3 linked regions of the Alligator mississippiensis genome follow. The protein of the gene in region 3 interacts with the protein of the main gene of each other region in a pairwise test. Links are inferred from orthologs where the notes say so. Each region holds a gene or a part of one and is shown on either strand. Other genes may lie near its edges. The genes, in order: TOR1AIP1, VAMP4 and LMNA.

Region 1 (9,957 bases), on a different chromosome or scaffold from region 3:
CTGTAACCCTGAGGCATGAAGCCAAATGGCAACCAACGTGGTATCAAACCCATGCCTTCAGTTCAAAATCATTGTCCACTAAAAACAGAAACTTAAAAAAAAGAGCATTGATGTTTGATTCTTAACATTTTCTTGCTCACACATTTTGAATACTAGTTTAAATATAGCCATAACCTTAATTTAGGTGTATATCAACACCTAAACATATCAAGTATATCAAATATATCAACACCTTGATATATGCATTCTTAAGATTTTGCCAGCACTCTCAGCTTTAATCAGATTTCTAGAATCTTCTTGCAGCCTGTGCAATGTTTGCGGTTAAGCAGAAACTAAGCTCAGCTTGAGAAACTGGGTGGTTTTTTTTGAGTTTCGATTCTGCTCACAGGAGAATCTTAAACTAAGCTCTGGAAATAGGCATCCTCTCATAAGAGCCACGCCCCCTCCCCCCAAGCTTGCAGAGAGGCTCATTTCTTTCTGTATTTTGTAAGAAACAATACAAAAAGTAATTCCACTAACATCATCAACAGTATCCACTTGGAACAGCCAACCTCTTGGCATTCTTCACACAACAGCCAAAGTCCAGCCAGCAACAACATTTTGTTCTCAAGGCCTGACACTACCGCAGTAACAAACGAGATTCAGTAGTAAGCAAACTAGAATGCGTTAAACTTAAACCAACCTGATTCACACGTTTTGGAATCTCTGTTTTCACTGAAGAGAGCATATTCTGTAAGGCAAGGAACACTAACATGATTAACACAGCCGTAAAAAAAAGGAAGGAAATTAAGTGGTTACATTCACATGTGTAGTTCTCTCTACTGCAGCGACCAATACATTTCTCAGGACAAAAGCTATGACTCCACAACCACTTATACATTACAGACATAGCTTCCTGTCTAACTCTCCAAAGGGTAGTTTTGCAATATGTCTTTTTAGAAAGAAACAAGGGATGTGGCAAATGAAGTAAAAACACAAACACATCACATTCAGTATCATGCAGCTAGTACAAGTCTATGCTTCTAGATGCAGAGAAGGCAGTCCTATCACACAAAAAGTAACTGTATACAACGAATAGAGTGGAAGTGGTCTTTTCACAAGCTCCACATGTGATTCAGTTCATGCCAGGTAAGTGGGTTTCTTACTTCATTTTTCCTAGTTTGTTTAGATAGATATTGTCATCATATTTAGTCACCGTACCTTTTCTCCAAAACCAAGAAACACAAGCAGATTCACTCACAACCCTTCTTTCATACCTTCAGCCAAGTACTGCTACAATCTCATGCACTTGATAGAACACATACACTTCTACAGACCCCTTTATTTGTTAATTTCAGAGTGCTACATACTAGTAGCACCCCTCATCAAACTTAAGACACCCCTTTTAAGACTCATGACACCCCTCTGAAAATGCCATCTCTTAGTTTTCACACAAAAAAAAACAACTCAGCTTGCAACAGGTCAGAAGGTTTGTAAATCCATGTATTCCTATTGAAATCTATGAGTTTATCTTGAAAACATTCTTTGCACACTTAACAGTGCTAACACTGCATGATGACACCCCCAACAGCATCCTTGCTGGGAGAATCAATCAATCTTCAAAAATTCTTACAAGATACCAGAGCACTGTTCCCCTTTTGAAAGGTAAACATATGAGGTGCAAGATTAAGTGCCCAACATTATACAACAAATCAATGGTAAAACTGGAAAGGGAACCAAGGCCATCCCCCAGTTCCTACTCCCTGCTTTCACCACTGATCTATACTCCCTAGAAATCTGTTTCAATAGTATTAGACTGCAAGGAGTGAAAAGCTCCTCCACTGGGTGTAGAAATCACTACTTACCTTCCCTTTGAAAACTTCTTATGCTGGGTCGAGTCAATTTGACAAAGGGATATTCACTCCCTAAAACAAAGAATGTGTTAAATGCATAACAAGCTCAAGCACCATGCCATCATTTCTTTCTCCCAACCACTTCAGCCCTCCATTCCATTCCATTCCATTCCATTCCATTCCATTCCATTCCATTCCATTCCATTCCATTCCATTCCTTCAAGAATACTATTAAACTACTCCCTCCCCCACTGCAGGCACACCAGACCCTCAAGCAGTTTGTTCATATGCTTGAGATTTGTGGGACGGGGAGGACAAAGTGAATGGTATATCTAGGGCAAAGGAGCAAGGTACCAGCAGAAGCCAAGAGGAAGGGGAGTGGGAATAGAATAGGCTGTGTATAAAAAAAGGCAAACAAGTATGGTGGACAGGAGCACAGGCATCTATAACTACTATGACACAATCGAATCTAGACCCTGAAAATGATCCCAGGATCCCCAGGACCCAAAGTTTCCCAGCTTTCTGGGAAGTAAGTTTGAATGCCATTGGCAAAGCATCCCTCATCCCTCTGTAATGGATATTCCACGAAGAGGATGCCCATTAATTCAAGTGCTAGAGGTCTGTATTTTGGATGTAGAAGTCAAAATAAGCCTTTGCCTAAAGTAAAAAAAAGCAAACAGGTAGGATTCAATCCTGAATGAGCAATACGATCCAAGAAAAACTCCAAATCCTATCCTTTCGTTCACCATGTGAGAGTGATTTCTGTGAATGCGCCATGTTTAATCATACACCAAATTTGCCCCCCAACTCAACCCTAAAGCATCAGTGATCATAATCTGTGGATTGTCAATTTCCCTTTACATCATTAGTGGATTAAGAAATTAATTTCCTCACACCCAAACCCCTTGCAAAACCCCCAGTCTTGTAAAAGAGGGCAAGAATAATAATAATAAAAAGACAAACCCCAGGGTAACTCCACTCTACTAAGCACAGATGAAACTATCCTAACCATCACGGAATAACTAAACTTCAGGGAACTGTGAAACCAGAGGTCTTGCTACATAGAAGCTTGGAGGAAGGCAATTTCTTTGCAGAAGGTAGTAAGTAGCAGAACGCTCTTGGCTAGAGGTGCATGATACGTCAGTCCAATATCGGATCAGCACCGATATAAAGAAAATCGACTGTATCAGAAACCGGCCTGATGTGCCTGATACTGTGGCAGATAAATGTAGGCAAGGAGAAGAGCTGTGTGCAGCTGGTAAGTCTGTTGTGGTAGAAGGGGGAGTAGGGAGGGAAGGGGCGGGGGACAGATCAGTTGTGGCACACCAGCTCGGTGGCTGACAAGAAAAGAGAGCAAGTGGATGATTCCCTTCATACCTGCCCACTGCCGACCACCCACCCACAATGGCTGGGAAACCATTTGCAGCTCAGCCAAGCCCCAATTTGCACCTCTAGTGATGCAGTACCCGCTCTACCACCTTGCTGGGTGGACTAGCACCTAACACAGTTGGGAACACCCCCGGGGGGGGGGGGGGAAGCTACCCTAGTTCAGGAGACTCCAGTCCATGAAACCTCCCTAGAGATTTTTAGCAGCGACCCCACAGGAAGCTCCTTGTGGCATCGGGCACCAGGCGGGGGGCCTCTCTCGCAGCCTTCCCTACCACCCCGCCGGCGGGCCACGAGCTGCCGACCCGCCCTCCGCGAAGAGCCGCCTCCTGGGGGCAGAGCCGCAGCCGTGGGGGCGGCAGCGGGGCAGGTGCTGCCATCACAATGGCTCCCGCGGCTCGGGGCGGGCGGCGCCTCGGGCATTTCCCTGCTAGCGGAGGGGCTGGTGCCGCCGCACCGGAAGGGAAGGGAAGGGGCCTCCCTGCGCAAGCGGGAAGGGCAGCCACAGCCACCTGCCCTGGGCACGGGGCTGAGCGTAGCCGCAGCGAGGGGCCGGACCAGCCCCCGCCCCAGGGCCCTCCAGCTCACCTGCCGGCGCGTCAGGCATCCCGCGCCGGGGCGCGGTGTTCGACGGCCTCGCCCTGCCCGAGGCCCCGTCTCCCGCCCAACGTCCCGCCGGCGTCTCCCCCGCCGGGGGCCGCTGCCGCGAGCGCAACTCGTAGCCCACACCAGCCGCCATCGCCGCCGCCTCCGTTTCCGTTTCCAAGGAGCCGTAGTCCCGCCCTGTTCGTCCCGCCGAGGGCGGGGCCAGAACGCGCACTTCCGCTCCGCTGTGCTTGGGGCCGGAAGTGCTAGCATCCCCCGGCTCGGCCGCGCCTGGCTCGGGGCCGCCATCTTGTGGGGCCCTCGGCTCGGCGGCGCAGCACGGCCTCAGCGGGGCCCGCGGCGTAGCGTGGGCGAGTGACATGGCTTCGGGCCTGATCCGGTCCGGGTTCGTCTCCCTCTCCCCTCCCTGCGGCCGCCGGGGTGCGCGCAGTCCGGGCCGACGCCGCGTCTGCAGCCGCTGCTTACCGGCGCCGCTTGTGACGGGCAGCGGCTGCGGCGCCGCCCCCGGCTCGGAGCAGCGAGGAGCAGAGCTGGGAGAGCCCGGCCCGGGCGAGGCCGCCCTCCAGCGGGCGCAGTGAAAACAGCCTCCCGGGCGCGACGTGGAGCAGCCCAGAGCGGACCCTTGGCATGAGGCAGGTCCTACCGGACCAGTTGGGCGGCGGGGGCCGGACGGGCTTTCGCCTCTGAGGCGGCAGGACGAGCTTGTGCCGCCTGTGCCCCCGCCATGTTGCCCCGTGGTTTCCGAGAGGCTAAGCATGATCTTATTCCAGCCAGCTCAAGTTCCTGAAAAAAACAGCAACGTGCCTAAGTTTTAAGCCTAAATTGGACAAAGTCACAAAAAGAAGCAAGCGCTCTCTGACGGTAACAGTTTTTCATGGGCTCAAGAAGGTCGGAAAAGGATTTCCTTTACAGCCTCCTCCTACCATTCAGAGATGTTTTACAGACAGTACTTGGATCTGGCCCTAACTCTTCCCTCACCCTGCTCTGCTGAAGACAAGTAGCACAATATTGCTCTTGTGACCTTTGGTAGCAGATCGAAGATAAAGGAGCAGCGTGCGTTAGGTCTGCGCGAAACGGAAGCATTCTGTTTCGACCAACGGTTCGACGGAACAGCGTTTTGTTTCGAGTCGAAACGGCTGTTCCGTATCGTTCTGTGGAAACATTTCTACATTTCGAACCTGTTTTGACATTTCCCCCGTAGGATATAATGGGGAAGGTCAAAACAGGCTATAACTTTGTCATTTCTGGCCTGATTTAGATGAAACTTGCAGGAATGATAGCCCCTTACGAGGGCATGAAGCCTGCCAAGCTTCAAGGAGATAGATGTAGGGGGGTTCAAAGAAACTGCACCCCAAAGTCTTGAGAGCAAAAGTCCTATCACTTGTATGTGTGAAGCCACAGCGGGGTCAAAACTGCAGGCTTGCTAGCCCCTGCTGAAGTAATGAAGCCTACCAGGTCTCAATGAGAGGTGCAGCGGCACTCTGGGTTCTGGGGCCCTACACCTCTGGCTGGTGACAGGCAAAACTCATGACATGGGTGGGTGACTCTGTGTGTTCAGGTGCGCCCTTCCTGGCACTGGGGCCTCTGCACGACACAGCAGTGTGCCCCAGTGAGTCCTCCTCCCCTACAGCCTCAGTCCAGTCTACCACAGTAAATGATGGCAGGTGAAAACGTAGCTGGCTCAACAGCAATAGCACCAGCAGCATCTAAAGTAGCCAAACAACTGTCACAGAGCCTTTCTTGTAAAGGAATTGACAGCAAGAAGTAAAGATGTTGTGTTGGATATATGTTACTCGTGGTGTGTGTGATGGCTTATCCTGTGTTTTTATGTTTGTATGTTCTTTATGAAAAAAAAAGGAATAGAGAAATATCTCTTAGGAAGCTTTCAGGTTGAAAAACCCTTTGTCAGGCTGAGGAAGTACCTGCGGTTGGTGTGTCTCTTGGTCCTGGATGGAAGGAATAGTAAAGAAGCCAGAGGCTGGCCTGGCACGCAATGCAGGCAAGAAAGGCAGTCAGTGAAAATGGAAATGGAGGCGTGAGGGTGAGGGAAAGGGTGAGGTGGAAAGGGGGATGTAAAAGTGCAGAGGTACCTAGGGTGTCAGATGTCCAGCAGGTTGCAGTGTGCCAGAATTCCAAGCACAAACTCAGCTGATTCCCCCTCCTTCCCCAGAATTTCCCTTGCTAGGGCACTGAGATCCAGATCCAGCGCCAGCTCTTCTTCTGGCACTGGAAGGCTCAGCATGGGAAGTGACATAGGGGTGGAGTAGACTGCTGCGATGGTGCTGGTGCTGCTGGTTGTGGTCATGGTGGGGTGCGGTTATGGCTGCTGAGCGTGGAGGGGATGCAGTCTTGGGCGGGGCAGTGGCAGTGGCACCACTCCCCTCTCCTTGCTGCTTTTAGCGGCCTCATCCCTTTCAGCTGGAGGAAAGAGGCTGCGTCTCAGTTTGGTGAGGGGTAGGGGGGACTTACAGCTCTCCCTCTTCCACCCCTCCCTGAAGGCTGGCCAGTGTTGCCACTTGCCTTTCTACCACTCTTCATGAGGTGTTTCAGGACTTCCTTTTCAAGAAATATATAAATGTATTTGTGTTCCTATATAAACTCAAATCTGTACTACTGGTGCAGGCAAGAGATTTATGAACATGGTAGAAATATATATGTCTGTGGATATAAATTCAATAGCGTTGGTATGGTGCAAAGAATGTCCGTATAAAAACAAATATATATAGTAAATTCCTATATAGAATAGGTTCTATAGTAACCCTATCCAATATAAGTATAAAATTCAAAAGAATAAATCAATGAATACAATAATAAAAGCACCTACAAGAAAAAGGTATTCTGAAATCCCTCTCGCTACAGTAACAAGCAGGGAACCCTTTAGAAAATCAGTGCTGCTAGCCCTAGTGGTCTGACAGTGAGCTGCTAGAATAGACAGCTCAATAAGTCACCCAAGGCAGAAAGCAGGAGCAGGTCCAAAAAATGCTGCCTTTTATGCAGTTTTTCTGTCCCTCCCCCAGAGCAATGGGGTTGGAAAGGACCTCAGAGAAGGGTGACAGGCACTGGCCAGTTACACATGTCAATAATGACAGCACTCCTTCCCACTCACCTCTCCCCCTCCATCCCCTTACTTTACTTTCTCTTTCCCCGCAGGGAAGCAAGCCAAGCCATTGAAGGTAAGCCCATAGCCCAGCTTCCTGGTCCAAACTCGAAACGTTTTGAATTTTTCCAAACGTTTTGACCTGCCCTGTTTTGTTTCGACCCTGTTTCAGCCCTGCCTGTTCTGTTTTGACTTTGCTGTTTCGAGGTCGAAATGGCTTGAAACAGCGTTGAAACAAAACGGGCAGCAAAATTTCACACAGCCCTAGTGTGCACCTTCCAGCCAGGCCAGGAGTGAGCGCAGAGAGGAATAAGTCCCTGCAGTGAAGGACTTGCTAGTATAAAATCCCTTGGCTTGCATTATGCGCAGGGGTTAGTCTCACTCATCATAATGATTCCTTCTGGCTTTATCATCATCATGCATCCTGCAGCATTTATATTCTGTTAGTGAACATGGATTAAGGGAATGTTCACACAGTAGGAACTAGATGACATGTTTCAGTAACTTTGAAGAAGAAACTTATAAGAACTTAAACATTTCCTTAAATATGGCTCACCCTGTGCAGTATACTTCCAGTTTTCTAGACAGTATCAGATCACATCTCTGATCCTTTTGCTAAGAGGAGGTTGGGAATTTTAGGCCAGCCTTTTAGTTCCTGTGTCTTGTGAGTAGCTTGTTCTTATGGCTAATTCTGTCAACATCACTATTATAGGGACAGGTAGTATGTTGAATATTGCTATTTTCATTTATAGAAGCTAATTTTCAAACCAGTTCCTAAACTTTTTTTTTTAATAAGCAAAGCTGATTTAATGAAGTGATCAAAAAGGCCAACAGGAAAAGGGCTAGAACCTGTATTTTCTAAATGGACACTGAGTTGAGAAAAATATCTTTCTAACATGCTTCCAACATAACAAATAACAGCAGATGATTATTTGTATTATGGTAGCAACAAAACACTCTAGCTAAGATCAGGATCCCACTGTGCAGAGAGATCAGTGATTTCCCACCTCTTTCAATCTGCACCAGTTCAATGAGAGAAACGCTTCTTTTCCCTTTCCAGTCCCCCAATGGCAGAGAGAATGTTAACTGAAACTTTTATGTGGTACAGTATACCTATGAGAAATATGGGACCCTGCACAATGGTACACACTGCTGGAGGATGACAGAACAGTCTGATGCATTGCATTTAACATGCAGTCTACATTTGCCCAGGGTGAAGTACAAACAGAAATGTGTTTGGTTTTCATTAGAGTCTATACAGTATAGTGGTGGTGTCTCTTGTAGTCTTGCTCCCCACTTTTGCTTCTGGCTGATGTCCTCTGTTGGTTCTCTTTCTACCAATGATAGCCAGCCGTTGACCATCTGATGGTGGTGACCACAAAGTGCCTCATCATCTTGAAGTAGTGCTAGGTATTCTGCAGGCACTCAGGATGCTATCATTGCTTGGATCCCATGCACCAAACACATTGATGCTCAACTCCTGCACCATCACATTGTATCCCTTTCTTCCCAGTGTCTCAGGCTGTACTTCATCAGCTTTCACTCCCAGGTTTTAGCAAAAGCCTGCCACTGGTTTTTAAAGGGGCTGGTCACATCGACAATCAGGATTTTCTTACTATCTTCGTTAGTGATGACAAGACAATGTCCAGTCTCGGTGGGCTGCTGCAGGCTGGGACCATGTGGTTTTTGTCCCTACTGATACCAAGATGACTGGGACCAGCCAGTCCTGTATGGTATTGTTGCAAAGTTGCCATATTCTTGCGTGCGATTTGCAGCCACATGGGACATGGAGCAGAGGCTTGTTCTCAAAGTGGCAGCTCCAGCACCTCGTCCCAGTTGCCATGGAAGGTGCTGTTATGGAAATAGTTGAAGTAAGCTGAATAGGTGAAGCACCTGTCTGTAAAGTGAACCAAGTTTCCCTGAGGCAGAAAGTGGTTGCTGGTATCCCATTTGAAGGTAACCTTGAAGACTTTGCTATGGTTTAGTTTCCCCTTCAAATTGTTGATGTACTTCACCCCATGGCCTGTTCCAGGAACCCCTTTAGGCTGATCCTCACCATGAAGGCACCGACCGTGATCTGGTTGGAGGTTGGGGCTTGGAGTGCCAAAACCTCCAGCTCCCACTGATTTTTGAGCCATGACCAGCAGCAGCAGATACAGTTCCCAAGGCATGATATGCCATTACAGGGGTGGGCCACAGTGAGGTAAGGTCCCCACCATCTCACCTGAAACCTCCTTCCAACCAAGTGCTCAGGAACATGACCAGGTCTTCAGTGGATGGTGGCCTAGCAATCTGCCTTTTGGCAGTCTCTTAAGACTTTAACAGCAACACTGCTCACAGCTCACTGAGGCAGGTCAGAAGGCAAGGGGTGCTACCATAATGTTGCAGTGATTCAGCAGGTTCACAGCCCAGAGGGACAGACTCCATGGCATGCATAGTCCATACTCTGAGGTGTGACAGATTTTGCATTTGTAGTCTTTTTATGGTCATAAATCATCTTTTTTTTCCTCCCTTCTTTTACATCTCTTAAGCTTTCCCTCTGCTGTAGTTCTGTTTTTTAACTTATGGACTTGTTTAGTACACACGTTGATTGAAGGATGCTTTATAAAATTCTAGAGTGCTATAAATAGTTCCAATCTGCTGTGCTATTGTTTCCTAAAAATACATGTTTACCATGGGAAACAATGCCACTGGCTGATCTATTCATGAAGAGAAATGCAGCTGCATTCAGAGAGGGTGAAAGGGACTACACATCCCAGCATTCCACTCGGGCAACCTGAGCCAGTACAAAGTTCATTGTCACGTTGACAGTGGAAGGATTCAGAAGTGACGGGTGTGTGCATTTGAGAGGACTATTTTACATTTCTAACGTCAAAACTAAAGTGTCTCCGGGAAGCTGGCAGTGCAGTGAAGTGCAGGGGTGTGTGTAACAACCCTCTGCTGAGAAATCCCCCCAGATTGCTGCATTTAGACAAGTAAGTTTTGAACTTTGTACACAGTAGAGTTGCTTTTTATTTCTGACTTCCTGTTTCTTCT
Region 2 (10,089 bases), on a different chromosome or scaffold from region 3:
CCCGTATGGCTGCATAGAGGGAGGTGGGAGGACCAGCCTGGCTCAATCTAGCTGTGCAGGGGAAGGGGTGTAGCCCAACCCTGCATGAAGAAGGCAAGGCCAGGCCCCAGCCTAGCTGGACGGAGGGAAAGGAACATGGTCTGGCCCCACAAGGGTAGGAGGGGGAAGATGGTGTGGTCCAGCCTACAGGGACATGGTCCAGCCCTGCAGGAGGAAAAGGGGGCCCCAACCCAGACACATGGAGGGAAAGGGGTATAGCCTGATCCTAATCTGCCCATGCAGGGACAGGGTTGTGGCCCAGCTCTGACCCACTGCCTGGGATTTTGGCAGCGAAGATGGGTAACAGTATTAACTTGGCAGCTTCCCCGCTGCCAAATTTCCTAATCCATGGGGAGCCTGCAGGCCAGATTCCAAGGCTCTGCAGGCCACATTTGGCCTGCATGCCAGAGGCTGAGCATCCCTGGTTTAGACAGCTTTTCGGCAGTACAAGTTTCACCTACAAGGGGTTTCAAATAGAAGACCACAGTATGCTGCATTATCACAGAATGGTAAGTAGTGACCTAGTGTCTCACCTATAATGGCCTAATAGCACAAACTCTTAAGCTGAGAGAAATCTCATACACAAATCAGATGTACCTAAAACAGACTTATTTGTTAATGTCAGTTTTTAAAGATCAGATCAATTGAACAAAGCATGTAAAAATCATACACATTTTAATTAACAGAAATATATCAGATCCCTCTCAGCTTAAGTTTGTGCTATTAGGCCATTATAGGTGAGACATTACAGTAATTTGCCTGTACTATCTACCAATAGTTCTGTTTTGCCACCTCACGGTAAGTGCGACATTCATTTATAGTGCAAATATCCAATATAAAAAAAAAAAACGTGCATGCAAATTACAAACAGGTTACATGGGGCAATATGCAAGAGAAACAGAATAGAATATCATGCTGTATACTACCCTGAACCTGTCTAGTGTTACACAGAACAACTATGTAGCAGTGCCCTGCACATTCAAGTATCAGATACAATACTCAATAATTAAGCTATTTTCCAGCTTCCTCAGAAAAAAGTGCTACACGTGACAGTCTACCTGGGGGTGCTCAACCACTGGCCCATCCAGAATTATACACCACTGGTCTATGTAGTTAAAAGGCACAGGGTAGAAGGTGGTTAAAGCATTCCACTATGGCTTCCAGAGAGACAAAGTCAAAGGGGTACCTGGTCATTCAGCCAAAGGAGGGAAAAGTATAGACATCATGCCAATCACAACACTATAACCAATGTCTACTAGAATTGGTGTATCTTAACCACCTAAGCTCAGGCAGGGTTGTTACATATATAACCAATCTATTCATACAGTTGTTTCATACAAATAAAGGCCAGAACATCTCTTTTTTCCACCAAAACGTGTAGTATTTATTGGTGACCTTCTGACAAAATAAATAAATAATTAATCAAGTCACTTTATCAAACTGTATAGACCAGCCATACCTGCCAAGCTAAAAGGGAGTATACACCACATCTAAAAATAATGTCATGTCATTCATTTTTATATTCTACAACCATGCAGCTATGACTATAGCTGCAGTATCACACTACAGCTACAACAGGACTCCATGGAAACATGAAATAATCTTGAGGCTGAAGACAAAAACTGGCCAAGTGCTCTTTTGGCAATAGTACACTTTATTTGTTTCAAGGCTGTTCATCTGTTTCCCTCAGATTTCTGTTCTAGCTCTGAGGACCAAGATGTACAGGAAAACAAACATGTTTGTTTCAACAAATTGCACAAGGTGCATTCTTCACCTGTGACCAATATTTTACCTCCCTCATGGTGCAACAAGTACTACGAGTCCTTCATATATGAAAATACACCGGGCTAGAACTTGGAATGAGCAACAACACGCAGAACATTTATAGGAAATTATTCTCAGAGAAAGATCTAGTGCTGTTAGTGTCTTTCCTTTTGCTCTAACTCAGGACAACATCCAGCCTGTGGGCCAAAGCTGGTTTGCACAACTACTGGGCTTTGTCTGTGCTTGTGCCAATGCTGGGGCTCAGCAGTGAGGAGCTATGCCAGGGCCAAGGAACTGGAAGCTGTGCCTATGCTGCTGCTGCTTGGAAGCTGGACAACTCTGATTTACTGTATTCAATTTACAGGTGCCCGTCCCAACAAAGGCTCAGAGTGGCTTACAATAAGAGGACAGAATAAGTTATAAAATAGAAGAACAAACAAGAGAACAAATCACCTTAGAAGGAAAGCAGAGAATCAACAGAAACCTAACCAATATCCCAGCCTAGCTTTACTTATTAAATGCCCGTCCAAATTAGAAAGTCTCACCATGCTTCCAAGAGATTTTCAGTTTCTTGTTTTAAAATCCTCTTTCAGTGCCCGTTTAGAACACATTATTTGCAAAAAGGGAATCAATACACACATGCATCTCAGACCAAACCTTTGTAACAGCCGTTTGTCAGCAGCTGTGAAGTCATCAAATGATGCATTCTGGGAATTACAAAAGAGTAGAGCCAGCCAGAATTTTATGAGACATCACAGGCTTTTAGAAGAACTGCCTTTCAGTTAACAAGCTGAACATCTCTCTTAAGCCGACTGTTGGGACTACTTATCACATGCCACACCCTCCTCTCTCAATTTTTTGGGTTTAGACCTTTGTTACATCCATACCTACTATTCAGTATTTGGTCTGCTTGTACAAAATTATTTTGGGCTTTACTGTAAGCTGCCCTGAGTCTTTTTTTTTTTTTTTGAGACAGACAGCATATAAAGAAATAAATACTGGTGAAATAATGGACTTCATTCATGTGTAGTGCACTTTAAACATGACCCCCACTGATTCAAAGTTATTCAAGTCATCAGTAACAAAGCCACATGGTGAAGCCTATTCCTACACCTCCAGTAAACACAGAGCTGTTAAATATACAAGGAGGGCAAGGAATAAAGCACTAACAAATGTAGCCAAGGCTACCACAGGCCACCAGGCACTTACCCTTTCACTTTTCACTGAACCAGTGACGTCATCATCATTGAGGTGGCGCTTGAATTTTGGAGGCATGTTTTCCACTCAAAAAGATGCCCTTGATGGTCCAGTACAGAAGGTGTGGGGAGAAATATGCTGCCTAGGAGAGAGGAAAAATGTGCGTCTTTGATATCTAATTTTACATGCAATTGGCAATCATTATCACCCCTTCTCCAGCACCCGGGAAAACAGCGGGAAGGCAACCAGAGAGCACCACCAGAATCCCCACGAAACAAAAGGCGGTACCTCATCCATTGTTATGTCGCACCATCACAGCCCCACAAGCCCCTCTTAAAGGGAAAGGCAATTTGATCGTGTTTCTTAAACCCTAATCCTGGGAACGCTCAAGCACTGCTCTAAACTCTGGCCATTCTGTGAGGAGTCACATGCTTGGCAGGATCACTCAGCGCTCCACAGCTAACCACCACCACCCGAAGGCAGTGCAAAGAGGGGCTCCAGACTGCAAATGCATCGAGGTACTAACAGTGTCTTTGGGCATCTCTGGTGCAGCCCCACGGCTGAGTTGCTGTGTGACAATACTGGGGTTGGGGGAATAGAAGCGAAGGGTATAGCAAAGGGAAACTAAAATTGGAGGAAAAGAGGGAGGAGGAGCAGGAAGTGTCGCTAAGGTGTGAAGAGGGGGTTGCGGGAGGAAGGGCTGGTTGATGTCCATGGCCTGGCCCACACTGATGGGGCTGAAGGTCTTTCCCACCCTGCTGGGGGACAGCTGCAGCCCTGCCTCGCCCGGTACTGCCGACTCTGGCCCCTGGGGAACCAACCCCCGACCCCGCGCCCCGCTCAAAAGGACAGAGACGAAGGTCGGCCCCGGCCCCCAGGCCTGGGGATGGCCAGGACCAAGTGCTGGGAGGGAGGGGAGCCGCAGGGGAGGTCCTCGGGGTCACGTGGTGCCCCACCTGCTCCCCCCGGCGACTCACGTGACCCCGAGCCGAGCGCACCGGAGCCGGAGGCCGCGCAGCTCCGCCCGGGGCCCGGCCAAGCCAAGGCCGCCCCGGCCCCCACTGCGCTGAGCTACGCAACACGCCCGACCCCAACCCGCGTCCCGCTCACCTCGCTGCGAGGCCCGGCTGGGAAATGGCTGGTGTTGCGGCCGCAGCCGAGTCAGCTGCTCCATCGAGCACTCGACACTCCCTCTGAGGGGCGGGGCCGACCGCCGAGTCATCGATCTCCCCCTTTCCCCTCCCCCACAGGCGGAGGGGCGCGGCTGGCCCTTCCACGCTTCCGTCTCCCGGCTACTGTAGGCCTGGGGCAGGGCACTCGTGCCGGCTCATCGCAGCGACGTCAGCAGGCGGGGTGGGGGTAGGTCGCTGCCCGGTAGCGTTGGCGGGTGAATGATAATTACGGCGTCTGTGTGGTCGTTTCTGCTTTTGTACAAGTGCGACCAATAATAAGTAAAGTGCTCCAAATGTACGGTAATTGTTGAGGCGGCTCATTGTTGCAGCAGCTGCAAAACCCAAGTCACTCAGGGAGTCTTCACGGACTTCTGGGTTTGCTGTCATTACTCTCTCATCACCAGGGATCCTGGTTTTCTCAGATTTAAAAGAATCCTGAAATTTCAGTTAAAAAATTAATCCCAAATCCACACTTTTCCATGATTTAAATGAAGCACCACTAAGACACACACACACACACACACATGCTCGTGTCTTTATGCGAATTCTTTTCTCACAAATTTCTCTATATGTGAATTCACTTATTTATACCAGAAATTTGCTTTATGCGACAAAACTCGGATGTTGTGTTCCAGCCTGCAGGGAGCTGGGAGGAAGCGGAAGGCAGGCAGTGAGACAGGTGGCGCCACGCGCATGTACAGTGCACCCACGTGGCCCCAAGCAGCCTCGAGGGCAGCTCCAGCTTGGGGGGGAAGAGGAAGGTTGAGGCCCGTGTAGGGAGGGAGCTGGGCAGGGCTGGGGCTGCAGGTGAGCCAGGGGGTGCTTGGGGCCCGGGGCTGCAGTGCAGGGCCCCAGCAGGGAGCAGGACGGAGCCTCCAGTGGCTCGGGGAAGTGGGAGGGGGAGGCCGGCACCCCACTGCCTCACACACTTCCAAGGGGAAGGGGCGGACACACAGGCGCAGTGGGCCCAGCTTGGCTCCTCTCCTTGCCTGGTCCCAGGGCCCTGCACCCCACTGCCCTGGCCACACCCCTCCCTCAAAGAGCGGCAGGCACAGGCTGTGCATCCCCAGGGAAGCGCAAGATGAGCAGCCACCATTCCCTGCCGCCCTGCCCCAGGTGCCTCTCCAGCCCAGCAGGAGCGACACGGGCTGGGAACAGCAGGGCTGCACAGAGGGGCTACGAGCTCCCCGCTCCAGGTCATGCCCACTGAGACACCCGAGGCAGGGAAGCAGGGAACAGCCTGTTCCCACCTGTGTCCGGGCCCGTTCCCACCCTACCTCCCCTTCGGGTCCGGGCCCATTCCTGGACAGACAGACAGACAAAGGCTTGTATAATATTAGAATGTATATAAATATACTAGTCAATTGCCCATCAGGAATGACGGGGGAGGAGGGGAGCATGCGGGGACAGAGCCCCGTGCCCCCCCAACCCTGTCTGGGCCCACTCCCCCTTTACCTTCTGCTGCTTGGGGTCTGGACCCGCTCCCTGCCGCAGCGGTGGGGGGAGGGGAGGAGTGTGCCTAGACCTGATGCAGGGGAGGGCCAGACACAAGGGTGGGGAGAAGCTGGCCTGCTGCAGCAGGGGGAGTAACAGGCCTGGGCTGACCCAGCGAGGGCAGGGGAACAGGAGAAGCGCTCAGCACCAAGGGGCCAGTGGCGGGGAGGAGGCCCGAGCCTGAGCCAGGGGAGACGCTGGCCCACCGCAGCAGTGAGGGGAGCAGCGTCCCACTCTGACGCGGCAGCAGCTGGGGGAGGGAAGGAGTGAGCTGCTTTCACCTCTCAGGCCCAGGCCTACTCCTCCCCCCGTCAGCTCCGAGCCCCCTCCTCTCATTCCCCTGCCACCACTGGGTTGGCCACGGGCCCGCTGCTCCCTCTGCTGTGGTGGGCCAGCGTCTCCCCTGGCTTGAGCTCAGTCCTGTTCCCCCGCTGCATGGGGCCCAGGGCCCACTCCTCCCCTCCCCACATCTCTGCCATGGCGTGCTCGCTATTCCCCCAACCCACGTCGGGCTCACTTCTCCCACCACCGCCACGGCATCCCACATCAGGCCCTGCAGGCAGCAATGGTGGAAGGCGGGGAGGGATGGATCGAGGCCAGAGCCATGGCCTGGCCCCCCTGTGGCATCCCAACCCTGATACCCGCCGCATCGCCACTGCCATCACCTGCAACGAGTAAAGGGGAGGGGGAGACCAGCTCCAGTGGCCTCGTCCCTCCTCCTCCCCTGCATTCCATCCCCTCTGTTGACCCCGCCTCCAGGGAGCAGGGCAGGCAGGGTGAGGCCATGCTGGTCAGGATGCACTGGCCTTGCCCCCTGCCCTCCTTCCCCTCTGTCCCCACCATCATGGCAGCACTCCACTGGCTGCCAGCTCCTGTTGGAATGCTTGTTCTCACTCTGATTGGATGTTTGTCAGCCAATCAAAGCGCGAATAAAGCGTTATGGACAAACAGACAGGCAAACTTTTATAATATTTGTGTGTGTGTGTGTGTGTGTGTCTGTGTGTGTGTGTGTGTGTGTGTGTGTGTGTGTACACTCAGGTCTCTTTATAGATTCATTAATTGGAAGGCCAGAAGGGACCTTGGAAAATCATCGGGTCCAGCCCCCTGCACCAAGCAGGAAAGATAACTGGGGGTCAGGTGACTCCAGCAAGGTGACCGTCCAGTCTTCTCTTGAAGATTTCCAGGGTAGGCGATTGCACCACCTCTGGAGGGAGCTTATTCCACAGTCTGAACACCCTGACTGGGAAAAGGTTTTTCTAATGTTGAGCCTGAATTGATCTTCCAGGAGTTTGTGGCCATTACTCCTGGTTTTCCCCTTGGGTGCCCTGGTGAACAGTTGCTCACCAAGCCCTTGATGTACTCCCCTAGTGTAGCAGTAAGCTGCTACCAGGTCCCGTCTCAGCCTTCTTTTCTTCAGGCTGAAGAGTCCCAGATCCCTCTGCCTTTCCTCATATGGCTTGCTGTGTAAGACTCTGATCATGCGGGTGGCTCTTCTTTGGACTCTCTCCAGCTTGTCCACGTCCTTGTTAAAGTGTGGTGCCCAGAACTGGACACGGTACTCCAGCTGCGGTCTCACCAGTGCTGAGTCGAGCAAAAGAATCACCTCCTTGGCATTGCTGGAGATGCATCGATTGATGCATGCCAGAGTATTATTTGCCCTACTAGCTACAGCATCGCACTGCCAGCTGTTGCCTTCCTCCATAGTAGGTGTTGTGCCTCTACCTGGGATCTCTTGAGGTATATTAACAACCTTTTTACACAAACAGGATGTTGGCTGCCCTCGTTCCCCTGCTTTACCTGTGGCAGGTTAGGGTGTTATGTCTTGTCTTGTGTCTGGGTTGATGACAGTTTTATGAAGAGTTTAGATTATGGATTTGTATAAGACGGTTTGGATAGGGATGCTCCTGCCTCAGGCAGGGGCTTGGACTAGATGACCTTTGGAGATCACTTCTAGCCCTGCTTCTCTTGATTTGTAAGATGTGCCGGGGCAGACAACAGAGAGCCAAAAGGCTGAGCAAATTCAATACCTGCCAAAATATAAATATAAAGATAGATAGGTCAATAGATATTGAATATATATATTTATTTTTACCCAGTGTGGGCCATCTGTTTTATAGTCATGTTCAATGATGGCTGCATTTAACGAACTTCGTAACTGGTTTCCATTGCGGAGCACATGCTGCTTTTGATAGCAGTTTAATGATAGATAATGTATTTAGCAAGATTTCCTTGTATGCAATTATAAGATGTGGGCTCTTAAAGCCTCAGTTTGGAACTGAGTAAATAACAGCACTATGAGCCAGATTCTGCCCAGGGTCCAGATACAACTTGCTCTGATATTAACAAGAAGTATGGCTGCACACTCCAGACAGAAGTTCACTCTGCAAATTGCTCGTGATCTTACTGGGTCAGATATCACCAAGTGATGCAGGAGCGAACAGATCTCTGTGAATTTACACTCCACAGCTTGAAGGAAAAAAAAAACCTGATTCTTGCATTGAGTGTGATCAAATGACCCCTTATGCTAGTTACTCCAAGATGTCATCATCACTGAAGTCCTCATTCATATTCACAGACTCAATGATCTGAAAGCATAATGTCATCTAATATGACTTTTTATAAAATATTGACCAGAAAATTTCAATTACTCCTATACTGAAAGTGGGATGAGGTAAAACAGGAAGAAGACACTTTGGTTTCAGGATGAGTGTCTGTACATGGAAGCAGGGGTTTAGGTTGTAGCCGTGTTGGTCTAAGGACACAGGCAGACAAGGTTCCTTGAGTGAATTTGTTATCTTTTATTAGACCAACCCAAATAGTTGGAGAACAGTTATTAAGCAAGCTTTCGGGTTCAAAAACCCTTCGTCAGGCTCAGGAAGCTGCAGCAGTTGGTGTGTGCTCTTCCTGGATGGAATGAAAAGTAAGGAAGCCAGGGGCTGGGGAGTCAGTTGCCAGGCAGATTATAATGTATCAAAAATCCAATGTCTATGTTTAGTCCATGATCTCTAGTATCCAGGAGGTTGATGAAATGGAGCTCATAGGCTCATCTCTGGGAAGTGTTGTGTAGATTTCCCTTGAGGATCAGGACTGAGAGATTGGAGAGAGAGTGGCCCTCCTGTGAGATATGTGCCCCCACCGGTAATTGGGTATTTCTGTCTTTGATGGATTTCCAGTGTGCGTTCATTCTGGTGCGCACTTGTTGTTTGGTCTCTCCTACATATTTTCCATCAGGGCATTTGGTGCATTGGATGAGCTATATTACATTTCTGGAGGTGCAGCTGTAAGATCCTGGGATGCTGATGGCTCTGTTGTGGGGTGTAGTAACAGTGGGGGTGGTGGAGATGTGTTGGCAGGTTTTGCATTTCTTGTCATGGCACGGTCTGGATCCTTCTGGTGTGTTCTGGGCTTGAGGAAGTTTGCTTCTGGTGATGAGGTTGGCAAGGTTCGGTGCTTGTCTGAAGGCTAGGATGGGTGGCTCTGGGAAGATCTTTTTAAGAATAGGGTCTCTTTCTAATATGGGTTGCAATTTTTTGAGGATTTTCCGTACAGGTTCAAGGGAGGGGTGATAGGTCATAACCAGCGGTGTGCGATTTGTGGGGGGGTTTCTTCTGTACTGCAGCAGTTCTTCACGTGGTATCCGGGTGGCTCTTTCAAACGTGCGATCTACCTCTCTGGATGAGTGTCCTTGTTGGGTGAAAGCCTTTTTAAGATTGGTGAGGTGGCAATCCCGGGTGTTCTCTTCAGTACAGATGCGGTGGTATCTGAGGGCTTGGCTGTATATCACAGCTTTTTTGGTGTGTTTCGGGTGATTGCTGGTTCTGTGCAGATATGTATGTTGGTCTGTGGGTTTCTTGTATATTGTGGTCTGTATTTTACCCTTCTGGATACTGATCATTGTGTCTAAAAAGGAGATGTTGGTGCTGGAGTATTCTAAAGAAAGTAGGATGGCGGGATGGTGATTGTTGAATTTCTGATGGAACTCAATCAGAGATTACAGGTTCTCACTCCAAATGATGAAGATGTCATTGATGTATCTTAAGTATAGCAAGGGTTTGATGGTGCAGTTCTTGAGGAACTCTCTCTCCAATCTCTCAGTCCTGATCCTCAAGGGAAATTTACACAGCACTTCCCAGAGACGAGCCTATGAGCTCCATTTCATCAACCTCCTGGATACTAGAGATCATGGACTAAACATAGACATTGGATTTTTGATACATTATAATCTGCCTGGCAACTGACTCCCCAGCCCAGCTGCTGGCTTCTTTATTTTTCATTCCATCCAGGAAGAGCACACACCAACTGCTGAAACTTCCTTGGCCTGACAAAGGGTTTTTGAACCCGAAAGCTTGCTTAATAACTGTTCTCCAACTATTTGGGTTGGTTTAATAAAAGATATCAAATTCACCCAAGGAACCTTGTCTGC
Region 3 (10,465 bases):
CGCTCTCCCTCCCTCTCAGGTGCAGGAGGGCAGAGGAGTCCAGGCTGGATTCCCTGCTCGGTGGGGCAATTGTTGACCCCCTGGCAGCTATGGAAAGGCCCTTGCGGGGCTAAATTGGAGGCTGACCGGGAGCTGCGGCTTTCAATCTGCCTCCACATGGTGTGCGTGGAGGAGGGGAGGGATAAAGCACTCCAGCTTCCTCCATGGAAAGCTCCCTGAGATTTCTTTGTGAGTGCAAGCGTGCCCTGCACAAAGGGCTCTGTCGCCTGGGCTGCCAAGGGACGTGGCCTCTCGGGCAGCCGGATGGACAGTGATGGCCAGACTATGTCAGGGATGCTCTCATGGGGGCGGCGCTGGATGGGTACTGCCACGGCTAATTGCACCCGTCCGCATGCCCAATGGTGGCAACCCCAGCATAGCCCCTGCTGCTAATACAAGGGGTGCCAACCTGTGCCCCTTGGCCTGTGCAATTGGGAATTGTGCCCATTGCTCGTGCTGATCTCATGTGTCTCCATCCGGCTGAGGAGCCTTCCCCTTGAATCCTGATTGCCCCACGAAGTCCCTTGCCAGCTGCCTGGGCTCCCTGGCTGGCATTGTGCCCCCTTGAATTCTTGCCACCCCATCCCCCTCCCCTGTGCCGGCCCCTGCTAGGATGTTTTGCGTTTTAACTTTGCGAGCACGTGCAGCTCTGGGAAGCCGTCGGTAGGGGAGATGCCTGGACAAAGGGAGACGGAAAAGGTGGGACGTGAGGTAACTTGGAGCACCTGAGAACAGCCCAGGGGGCCCCAGAACAAGGTGGGGATCCCCTCCGTGCCCCCAGGCCCAGCACAGCTGCGTTACGCATGCTCTTTGTGCACTGAGCAAGAGAGTGGCTGCCCCTAGGAGACAGGCAGGGGGGTCCCCTGGTTGTCTGCAGGCTCCCGGGAGAAGATGCCTGCCTGACGCACCCCTCAAACTCCATGCAACCCGCCCGCGCAGCCCGCGGGCATGGCTACTTCCTGCAGCCTCTCTGGCGCGGACACGCCCCCTCTCCCCCGCGATCAAACCCCTTCGTCTGGCGTGATCGCCGCCATCCCGGGACCGAGAGACGGGGGCGCCCATCACCCCAGAGGCGTAAAGGCATGGTGGGGGGGAGGTCTCAAAATCGACATAAAGGGGCTGCAGCACGGACGAGGCTGAGGCCCCTTCCACGTGTCCGTGTGCATGAGCTCAGCTTGCAGGAGGGGATAAGTCAGCCGGGTTGTAACGCATCTAGAAACGCGGCGGCTCATTTGGGGGGAAAAACGGCCAGATTAACTAGAAGAAAGAGCTGGTGCGGGGGGGCACCAATGTATCCATGGATCTGTCTGTAATGCAGGGATCCCCTGGATCCTGACACACCCCCTTGCAGCTCCTGGGCCCCCCCAGTGCATCCCGAGCTTGCACTGGTTTCCTCCTCTGCTGCCTTTCAACCAGGCGTCTCGGCTACATCCTCTTCCAGCCATGCAGGGTCTGGGGAGAGCTTTCCAAACAACACAACACCCTCCCGCCTGGGCCGGAGGCTCTTAACGGTGCTCAGCACCCAGCACCCCCCGTGGTTCTTGCAGCACAGGGGGGTGCAGTGATTTTAACAGCCCAGCCCTTGTTCCCCAACCGTGCAAACAAAAGCAGCCCCCAAAAGACACCACTCAAGGCCTCGTTGTAGTAAACACTGGCCAGATCCACAGCTGGGGTAAATGACAGGGACAGCGGTGGAATAAAGCGCGTGTCCACCCGAGGAGGAGAATCCAGCCCAGCCCGTTGTCTTGGCTGAGCAGCACTGATGCATCTCAGCTGGGGGGGATCTGGTCCATGGATACATCTGGTGGGGTGGAGAAACAACCCCGGGGGTCCCCGGCCCTCTCCATTCCCACCAGCCACCCTGCGTGTCCAGAGCACACCCCTTGCCTTTGGAGCTGGGGTCAGGGCTTTCCCCAGGGAGAAGGGAACCGCACAGGCCTCTCCCTAGCTCTGGAAAAAGGTTCCCTTGGGCTCAGCCCCGTTTCTTAACTCCATTAAACAAAGGGGGCCTGATCCGGCACCGGCCGGCCCTGCAAAGTTGGTGCAACACGCGCCTCTGCTCGCATGCTTGCTTCACACAGGTGCAAAGCCCTGTGAGTGGTGCAGGGCATCTCTTTCCCCCAGCCCAGATGTGGGGCCTGCTGGGCCGGACCCCAGCTGGGGCCCGGGGTTCGCAGCGAGGGGTTCCCCACCCGAGGCAGCTGGCGAGAGGCCTGCGCTGAAGCCAAGCCATCTCCAGCCCTATTGTTCCGATAACCCGTTCCAGCTTAACGATGCACGACAATTAGCCATTTCTACCCCACTGCAGACTTGCTCCTTCCCTTCTTCTCCTCCGGGAGCATCCACCTGAAGCCAGAACCCCCCCGACCCACTCCTTTCTTTCCCCCACCCCCAGATGAACGCTGCAAAACTCCCTACCTCGGCCATTTCAATGCGCTACCCGAGGAGGCATCCAGAGAGCCGCAGACTGCCCTAGCCATGCTTCCAAGTTAGTCCCCCCCCACCCCTTTTACCAAGGCAAAACTTCTCTTGCCAGCCTTATTGTTTTTTAACCCTGCACTGACTTAGCTTTGGGGCCTGAACCCCATTCTTTTCCCCACACTTAGAAGACTGCAGGGGGGGGCTGGGCGGGTGGGTGACTTCAGTGTGGGTGTGGTGCGTATCTATACAGCTATATAGAGATGTATAGATAGATATATCTATATAGACATCTCTCATTGCCCCCCTATTTTAAATCCCACCCCCATTCTACCTCGCACCGAATGCAGCCTGTACCGGAGAACAAAAGCATCACTGTCACCGAGATTGTGGTCAGCGATGATGTTGGTGGGCAGGGGGGCGTGGGGAGAGGAGAAAAGCAATGGAAGTCAAGAGCAGGGCAAGAGCAAAGATGGTTCAATCCCAAACCCTGCCAGGGATCCCCCCCCTAAGTCACATGATCCCCAAAACAGTTCAACTTTCATTAATCTGTTATTTGAATCCTTCCTAGGCCTTCAGGCACTCACCTCCCCCATTACCGCCACTGCTCAACCACACCCCCTTCCACTTCCAGCCCTCAGCCCAACAAAGGGGATTTTTTTCCCCCCTTCTCCCTCCTGTTCCACCTTCTCTTTCCTCTCCCCAAGCCCACGGTGGGGAAGTTGGGGTCACTCCACCCCCATCCTGTCTTCAGGCCCATTGCAGAAATCAATAAAAGGGGCTCTGGATCCCCCGAGCTATAAGGGGCCAGGAGAGCGCACGCACATTCCTATGGACCCCGGACCCCCGCCACACACCCGCTCTGGGCCCTCTCCCCATCTTGCCCAAGGGTGGGTGACCCCCAGGCTACCCCACCTGGGGGGTGCTGGGGATGGATTGCCCCTGCCCCCCCTTCCCTTCCCCGACACAGGCACAAACACTTTGTTTCTGGGCAGGGAAGCAGTGGGAGATGGAGAAGGGGGGTGGGGATGAAGGCATCAAGAGAGGGGGTCCACTTCCCTCCCCTGCAGTGGCCATTATTCATCCCAGAGCCAGAGAGCGGGGCCACTTGGAGCGGACAGGAGGCAACTTTCCCAGACACAATGCAAGAAAGAAGTCACCAGCCTGGGGAGGCTTGGAAGGGGTGGGAGGGGGGCCTGGTCCCTGAAGCCTGGAGGGTGCAAGGGGACTGGCCAGGCTACCCTAGCCTGAAGTTTGCCTGCTTCCAGGCACCCCCAGCCCCCCTTTCCATCACAACAAAAGAGAGGGATGGGATGAGAGGGTGGGAAGGGAGGGAAGGGGAGGGGGGCGGCAGCTGAGTTGTGGGGGGTGGGAGGGATAGGGGGGGTCTGCCTGCCTGAGTGGGTGTGGAAAGGGGGGAACTGACTGGGGCTGGGGGGCTGGGAGAGGAGGAGGGATGAGTGGGTGTGGGGGGCTGGTAAAGGGGGGCACTGAGTGGGTGTGGGGGGTTCAGTGGGTGCAGGGGCTGGAAAGGGGGGCACTGACCGGGTCTGAGGGGGAGTGGGTGTGCAGGCTGGGAAGGGGGATGAGTGGGTGTGGGGGGTTGAGTGGGGCTGGGAAAAGGGGGGCACTGAGTGGGTCTAGGGAGTATGAGTGGGTGTGAGGGCTGGGACGGGGGCTTGAGTGGTTGTGGGGGGGAGTGGGTGTGCGGGCTGGGGGGGTGAGTGGGTGTGCAGGCTGGGGGGATGAGTGGGTGTGGGGGGGAGTGGGTGTGCAGGCTGGGGGGGTGAGTGGGTGTGCAGGCTGGGGGGATGAGTGGGTGTGGGGGGGAGTGGGTGTGCGGGCTGAGGAGGGGATGAGCGGGTGCGGGGTGGTGAGTGGGTGCGCGGGCTGGGAGGAGGAGGAGGAGGAGGAGGACGAGGAGCTCGGGGCGACGCAGACAATAGCCGGGTCCCGTCCCGTCCCGTCCCGTGCGGTGCGGTGCGGTGCGGTGCAGCCCCGTCCCGTCCCGTGCGGCGCGGCGCGGCTCGGCGCGGCGCGGCGCGTCCCTCCCCCCTGGCTCACTCACCCTGGCGGCCCACGATCTCGGCCACGTGCTCGGAGCTGGGCACGGGCACGCACTCGGTGGTGTTGGAGCTGCTCTTGAGCCGCAGCTCGGCCTCCTTGTAGAGCGCGCACAACTTGGCGTCGGCCGGGCCGGGGGCGCTGGGGGCGGCGGCGGCGGCGCTGGGGGGGGCGGCCGGGGCTCCGCCGGCCCCTCCGCCGCCCTTGGGCGCGCCGAGGCCCGGCAGCGGCGGGGGCGGCGGCGGCGCCGGGGCGGGCGGCGGGGGGCCGGGGGTGGAGGCGGGCGTGGGCGCGGGCGCCGGCGGCTGCGGCTCGACGGGCGTGTGGCTGGCGCTGCTGTCGTCCCCCGCCGCCCCGGCGGGCGCGCCCGGCTCGCCGAGCCCGAGCAGGCAGAGCTGGTCCAGGGCGAGCTGCAGCGCGCGGTCGTCCTCCAGCAGCGTGCGCTCCTTGCTGCTCGCCGCGAAGCAGCCCAGCTCACTGAAGCCCCCGTTCCTTTCCATTATCCCCGATACTACCAGGCTAGGCATGGCTAACAAAGGCTGCGAGGGGGGCTGGTTGGGGAGGGGGGGGGGAGAGGAGGGGAGGGCTGGGGGGGAACAAAGAGCTCGGGAGGGAGGGAGAGGGAAAAAAAAAAGACAGAGGGAAAGAAAGAGACAGAGGGAGAGAGAGAAGCGGCGACCCTCCGCCCACCTCCCCTCCGCCTGGCCAAGCCCCTTTCTCCCTGCCTCTCCCTGTAACCTGAGCTCCGCGCCGAGGTGGATCCCGGCCGCCCCCCCGCCCCGCAGCGCACAAAAGAGCCGGCGGCGGGCGCGGGAGGCAGGGGCAGGGGCAGGGAGGCTGGGGAGAGCCGGAGGGGAGGCAGCGAGAAAGAGAGGGGGAAACTCTTTTGTTTTAAATTCCCTGGCTGCAGCATGAAGCTGACACTCCGGAGGGGACCGGAGGCTGCTGGGGGATGTAGTTTCCCGGCCCGGCGCACACACCCCCTTGGCTGGCGCTCGAGGAGCGGGGAGGGAGGGGAAGGAAGAGCAGGGGAGGAAGGAAAAAGAAGAAAGAAAGAAAGAAAGGGGGAGGAAGGAAGGAAGGGGAAAGGATGAATGAATGAAAAACAGAAAGAAGAAAAAGAAGACAGAAAGAAAGGAAGGAGAAAAGAGGGAAAGAAGAGGAAGGGCAAAGGATGAATGAAAGAAGACAGCAAGAAGGAAGGAAAGGGAGGAAGGAGAAAGAATGAATGAAAAAAGAAGAAGGAAGAACTAAGAAAGGAAGAAAAGAGGAAGGAAGAAAAAGAAGAGAAGAAAGAATGAATGAAAAAAGAAGGAAGAACTAAGAAAGGAAGAAAAGAGGAAGGAAGAAAAAGAAGAGAAGAAAGAATGAATGAAAAAAAAAAAGGAAGGAGGGGAAGAAGAGGCAGGAAGGAAGGAGACAGAAGGAAAGGAAGGAAGAAGAAAGCATGAATGAAGAAGGAGGTTGGATGGATGGATGTAGCCTGGATGGGTGGATAGAGAGAGGAGCTCTCTGCTGCAGATGTAGGGCAGACAGCAAGAGAGGGGGATGGTGGATGGACGGAGAAGGGCGACTTCAGGCGTGGGGTGCACAGACAGATGGAGGCCCGGTGGGATAAGGCACCAGATTGGGACCCTAGAGACCTAGTTACAGACACCGGCCGTCCCGGTGACCTTGGGCAAATCACTTAAGCTCCCGGCATCCCAGTCCCGACAAAATAGGCCCCTAATCCTTGCTGAGGGGGCTGCGCTGGTCAATCCAGTGCCTGGGAGGGATAAATGGGGGGAGGAGCGGGGAAGGGGCCTGCTGCTTGCCCTGTTTTGTGGGGGTGTAAATCCAGAGTGACTCCGTGGAGGGACAGAGTAGGAAGGGGAGGAGGAGGGAAGGGGGGAGGAGATGGAAACCCCCACTTGTTTGCACACCCCGCTCTGGGGTCCGCAGCAGCAGGAGGGGGCAGGGGGGCTGGGCTGCACGTACAGACAAGGCCCCAAAAGGATCAGGCCTGAGATCCCACATCCATCCCTGCCTCCTGGGCCTGCCCCCATGCAGGAGGCTGTGCAGAAGGGGGACTTGGCAGCTCTCCGGCCTGGGGGAAGGGAAGGGAGGGGAGGGGAGGGGAGGGGAGGTAGGGGGGACACCCTCCATGGCAATAACACCTCCCTCTCTCCTCCTTCCAGATCTAGAGATGCTGGGGAGAGAGGCCACTGCTGGGCCCCTCTCCCTTTTCTTATTGAAATGAAGGGCGATGGGGGGAAAGCATTGAAAATAGCTTTTCAGCTCCCAGCCTGCAAGGGTTTCTTCCCTCCCTCCCTCCCCCTTTCTTCCCTTTGAATCGAACCAGATGTCTCTCCCATGAAATGAGATTGCCTGGCTCTTGCTGGAGAGAGACAATGCGGGAAGATGGGAGATCCCCCATCCAGCGCACTCCACTGCAGCCCTGGCAGAGACTGTGTCTGCATCTCTGGCTGGGCGTGAGGGGGGTGTGGGGGCAGAAGGGAGGTTGGTGATAGAAGAAGGAATTTGCTGCCCCTCATCACTGTATTTTCCCCCCCTTTCTCTTTGCTCTCAGCGCTTTGCCAACAAGGTCTTTCTCTCTCTCTCTCTCTCTCTCTCTCTCTCTCTCCTGGGTTTGACAGCAGAAGAGCTCAGCTGGGGAATGAACTCAGCAGCTGCACAAGGAAATGTCTCATACGGTGACTCAACAAGGTAAGGTGTTGCCATCGCTTTCCCTGCAACTTTGCCTGGGCACTTCTGCAGCCTGGCTGGGGGGGCTGCGTTTGGAGCCTGCTCGGTAGTACCCAGTTGGGGCAGCCGCGGTGGCAGCAGACCGCAGGGCACATGCCGGGCTCAGACAGAAAAGGAAAGGAGTCCAGGGTAGGCTGGGATTCTCAGTGTTCAGCAAGCAATCCTTACACCCCCACAAAGTACCGCCAGCCCCCCTGAAGCCGCTGTTGGGGACTTAACCCAGTGGTTCAGACCATGGTTTTCCAACCGTGTTTTGAATTTGGGTTTAACCTTTACGTGCTTGCGTGATCGGTTGTCAAATGCCAGCAGTTTGGAGTGATTTCCTTCCTATAACCAACAGTGGATGTGTGTGCGGTGGCATACACAGAGCAATGTCTCTATAGGCGTAGACAATGCACTTTGTATTTACTAGATGCACATTTGTACTCTAGATGCACATAGGAGTACTCTAGTGACATAGGAGTACTCTAGGTATGTATATGTGAGTTGGTGTGTGCATGTTTAATAAGCATAGACATCTACGCACACGCCGTCTTTCTATGTATATATCTATATAGATATATCTATAGAGAGGTATGTATAAATAGATATAGCTATAGATGTAGATCTATATGTCTATATAGATATATATTACTTATACATACATATGCAGTCTATAATGAAAACTGCCATAGAAACTAAAATCCATATATACAAACACAGGTATATATCTAGACATGTACGTGCATACATACAACATAAACATGTATATGCAGTGCATATGTGTATATCTGAGTACATATATTTGTGTATGTAATTTGCACATATAAGATATGTGCTTATTTATATTTATGTGTGTATGATATATATGTAAATATATTTTACATATATATGTAAGTGTGTGTGTATATATACATATGTATGTGTGTGTGTATACATACACACAGATCTATATATACATGCACAAATATACATAGAGGTGTGTGTATATACACGTGTATATGTATGTAAATGTGTATGTGTGTTTGTATATACATGCACACAGACCTATATATACGCACATGTACAAAAATGTCTATGTACACACGTGTGTAAATATATCTATATGTGTATATGTGTGTTTGTGTATATGTGTACACAGATCTATATATACATGCACACACACATATGTATGTGTATGTGTATATATATGTATATATACACACAGTATGTGTATATATATGTATATATACACACAGTATGTGTATATATACATACTCACATTATATGTATGTATGTATATATACACACAATATATATGTATGTGTGTGTGTGTGTGTGTGTGTGTGTGTGTGTGTGTGTGTGTGTATATATATATATATATATATATATATATATATATATATGCTTATATTTGCATATGTATGTGTATGTGTGAGCACTTACCCCCCCACACACACACGGAGAGAGTATATACATATGTGTGCATATTTCTGTTAAAAGTACCTGTGAGCACACACACGTGGGTGTGTCTAATACACAAGTATATTTATATGTGTGTGCATACATACACATATACATTTATAGTTTTGGGAATTAGTAGCTGAATTTGTGTCTTTGGAAAATAACGTACTTCTAAGTTACAGGACTCAGGAATTGTTTTTCACCAGGTCAGAATTTGGTCACATGTGCAGGACAGAAAATTGTGCATTGTTTTCAGGGAGCACTTCAGCTTAGGAAGTCTGCCTTTCATCCAACCCCCATTTTACGTTCCACCTTGTGACTTCAAGAACAGACCCGTGTCCCTTGAAATAAGGAAAGTGGAAGAGGAAAAAAGAGAGAGAGCTGACAAAGTGTCAACTGCCAATACTCAGCCATCATAACCCTGGCCTCAGAATCACAAAATTGTCTTAAAAGTCATGTCATCCTACAAAGTAATGAGCCTGGGCTGCTTTCTCTTGGCCTTCTGGTTTCTGAAACTTCAGGATCAGGTCATGTTTTCTAGCTTTTCTCCATAAGGGCTCAAACTTCCTTTTATTTTATTTTTTCACATGAATGCTGAGGAGATTTCCCCATATTCACATGACTCCTAGAGCTGGGGTTTATAGGCAAACCTCAAGCCTTGCATTCCAGATCACAGGAGTCGGCAATGCTGTGCCAGTGACTCATTTTGCTGGGTGCGTTCGTTAGGTTTTGTTTGTGGGGTTGATCCGGCAACTACTTGCTGAACACTTACTCTAGCTAATGACCCCGTGGACAGACTCTATTTGCATTCGTAATAACTCTTTAGGCGAGTGTTTGTAGACATGGCCCCTATGCTTGAGCTCCAACCTGGGATCCGCGTACCAGCGTGGTCAGCGGGTCACATAGTGTGAAGGTTGAGACCGACTCACGGCTTAATGACTCATCTTCCCAAGTGCTGTAAAACCTAGGTGGTTATTTGTATAGTCCTGAGAGCCAGCATGCAGGAGGAGGTCTGGCTTGTGTTCCTAATTTGCAGTCATTGAAATAAGGATCTCCCATGAGACTGCCCTGCTAAAAAATATAATGTGACATCACCCCCTTGCAGTTCTTTTTTATGGGGATTAAGTAATAACTCAGACTCACCCCACCTGCTTGGATCAATTCCTCCTGCTGCCTGACACCCCTGGTGTCTGGGGTGGGCACAAGATCTCTAGAGTTATTCAGGTTTAAAGTTGGCAAAGAAAGTCATTTGTGGTGAGGCTGGGCCTCTGTTGAAACCGGAATATCTTCAGGCATCTGGGGCAGAAAGCAAAATTGTAGCTCAAGACAGGACAGCTGTGCACCATGAATTCTGGTTTTCACATGAGGATCTTTCTGAGCAGGTGTGTTATATGTATTGCATCCTTGCGTGGGTGCTATGGGAGCTTGAAGATCTAAGTGCAGATTCAGAGAGCCCAATTTAGAGGTACAGTCAATCAAATTGCTAATTCCAAACTAAGACGGCGGCAGACTCCAGGAAGCAGCAGGGATGGGGGCAAGATTGCAGCAGTAGGAGCGTTGCTGCATGAGTAGGTGTGTTGCCAGCAGATCAAGGGCAGTGATTCTTCCCTCTATTCTGCGCTGGTGAGGCCACATCTGGAGTCCTTTGTCCAGCTGTGGGCCCCCCACTACAGAAAGGATGTGGATGAATTGGAGAGAGTCCAGCAGAGGGCAATGAAAATGGTTCTGGGGCTCATGACTTATATGGAGAGGCTGAGGGACCTGGGTTTATTTAATC

What was found.
Region 1: the proteins of LMNA (region 3) and TOR1AIP1 interact in a two-hybrid assay, tested with the Homo sapiens proteins (2 studies listed by BioGRID). The link is inferred for Alligator mississippiensis from reciprocal best matches to the Homo sapiens genes LMNA and TOR1AIP1.
Region 2: the proteins of LMNA (region 3) and VAMP4 interact in a two-hybrid assay, tested with the Homo sapiens proteins (2 studies listed by BioGRID and IntAct, with this or other methods). The link is inferred for Alligator mississippiensis from reciprocal best matches to the Homo sapiens genes LMNA and VAMP4.

What each region holds. Positions count from the first base shown.
Region 1 is NC_081828.1:51,636,377-51,646,333, reverse strand, and holds the start of TOR1AIP1 (torsin-1A-interacting protein 1), read right to left. Parts: upstream 4,582-9,957; coding exon 3,807-4,581; intron 1,905-3,806; coding exon 1,845-1,904; intron 731-1,844; coding exon 683-730; intron 1-682. UniProt on the Homo sapiens protein: Required for nuclear membrane integrity. Induces TOR1A and TOR1B ATPase activity and is required for their location on the nuclear membrane. Binds to A- and B-type lamins. Possible role in membrane attachment and assembly of the nuclear lamina.
Region 2 is NC_081828.1:44,982,802-44,992,890, reverse strand, and holds the start of VAMP4 (vesicle-associated membrane protein 4), read right to left. Parts: upstream 4,199-10,089; 5' UTR 4,111-4,198; intron 3,143-4,110; 5' UTR 3,079-3,142; coding exon 3,013-3,078; intron 1-3,012. UniProt on the Homo sapiens protein: Involved in the pathway that functions to remove an inhibitor (probably synaptotagmin-4) of calcium-triggered exocytosis during the maturation of secretory granules.
Region 3 is NC_081838.1:17,274,234-17,284,698, forward strand, and holds the start of LMNA (lamin), read left to right. Parts: upstream 1-5,891; 5' UTR 5,892-5,984; intron 5,985-6,712; exon of another isoform or gene 6,713-7,157; 5' UTR 7,158-7,227; intron 7,228-10,465. Other genes in the region: RNA-binding protein MEX3A, read right to left, coding at 4,526-5,048.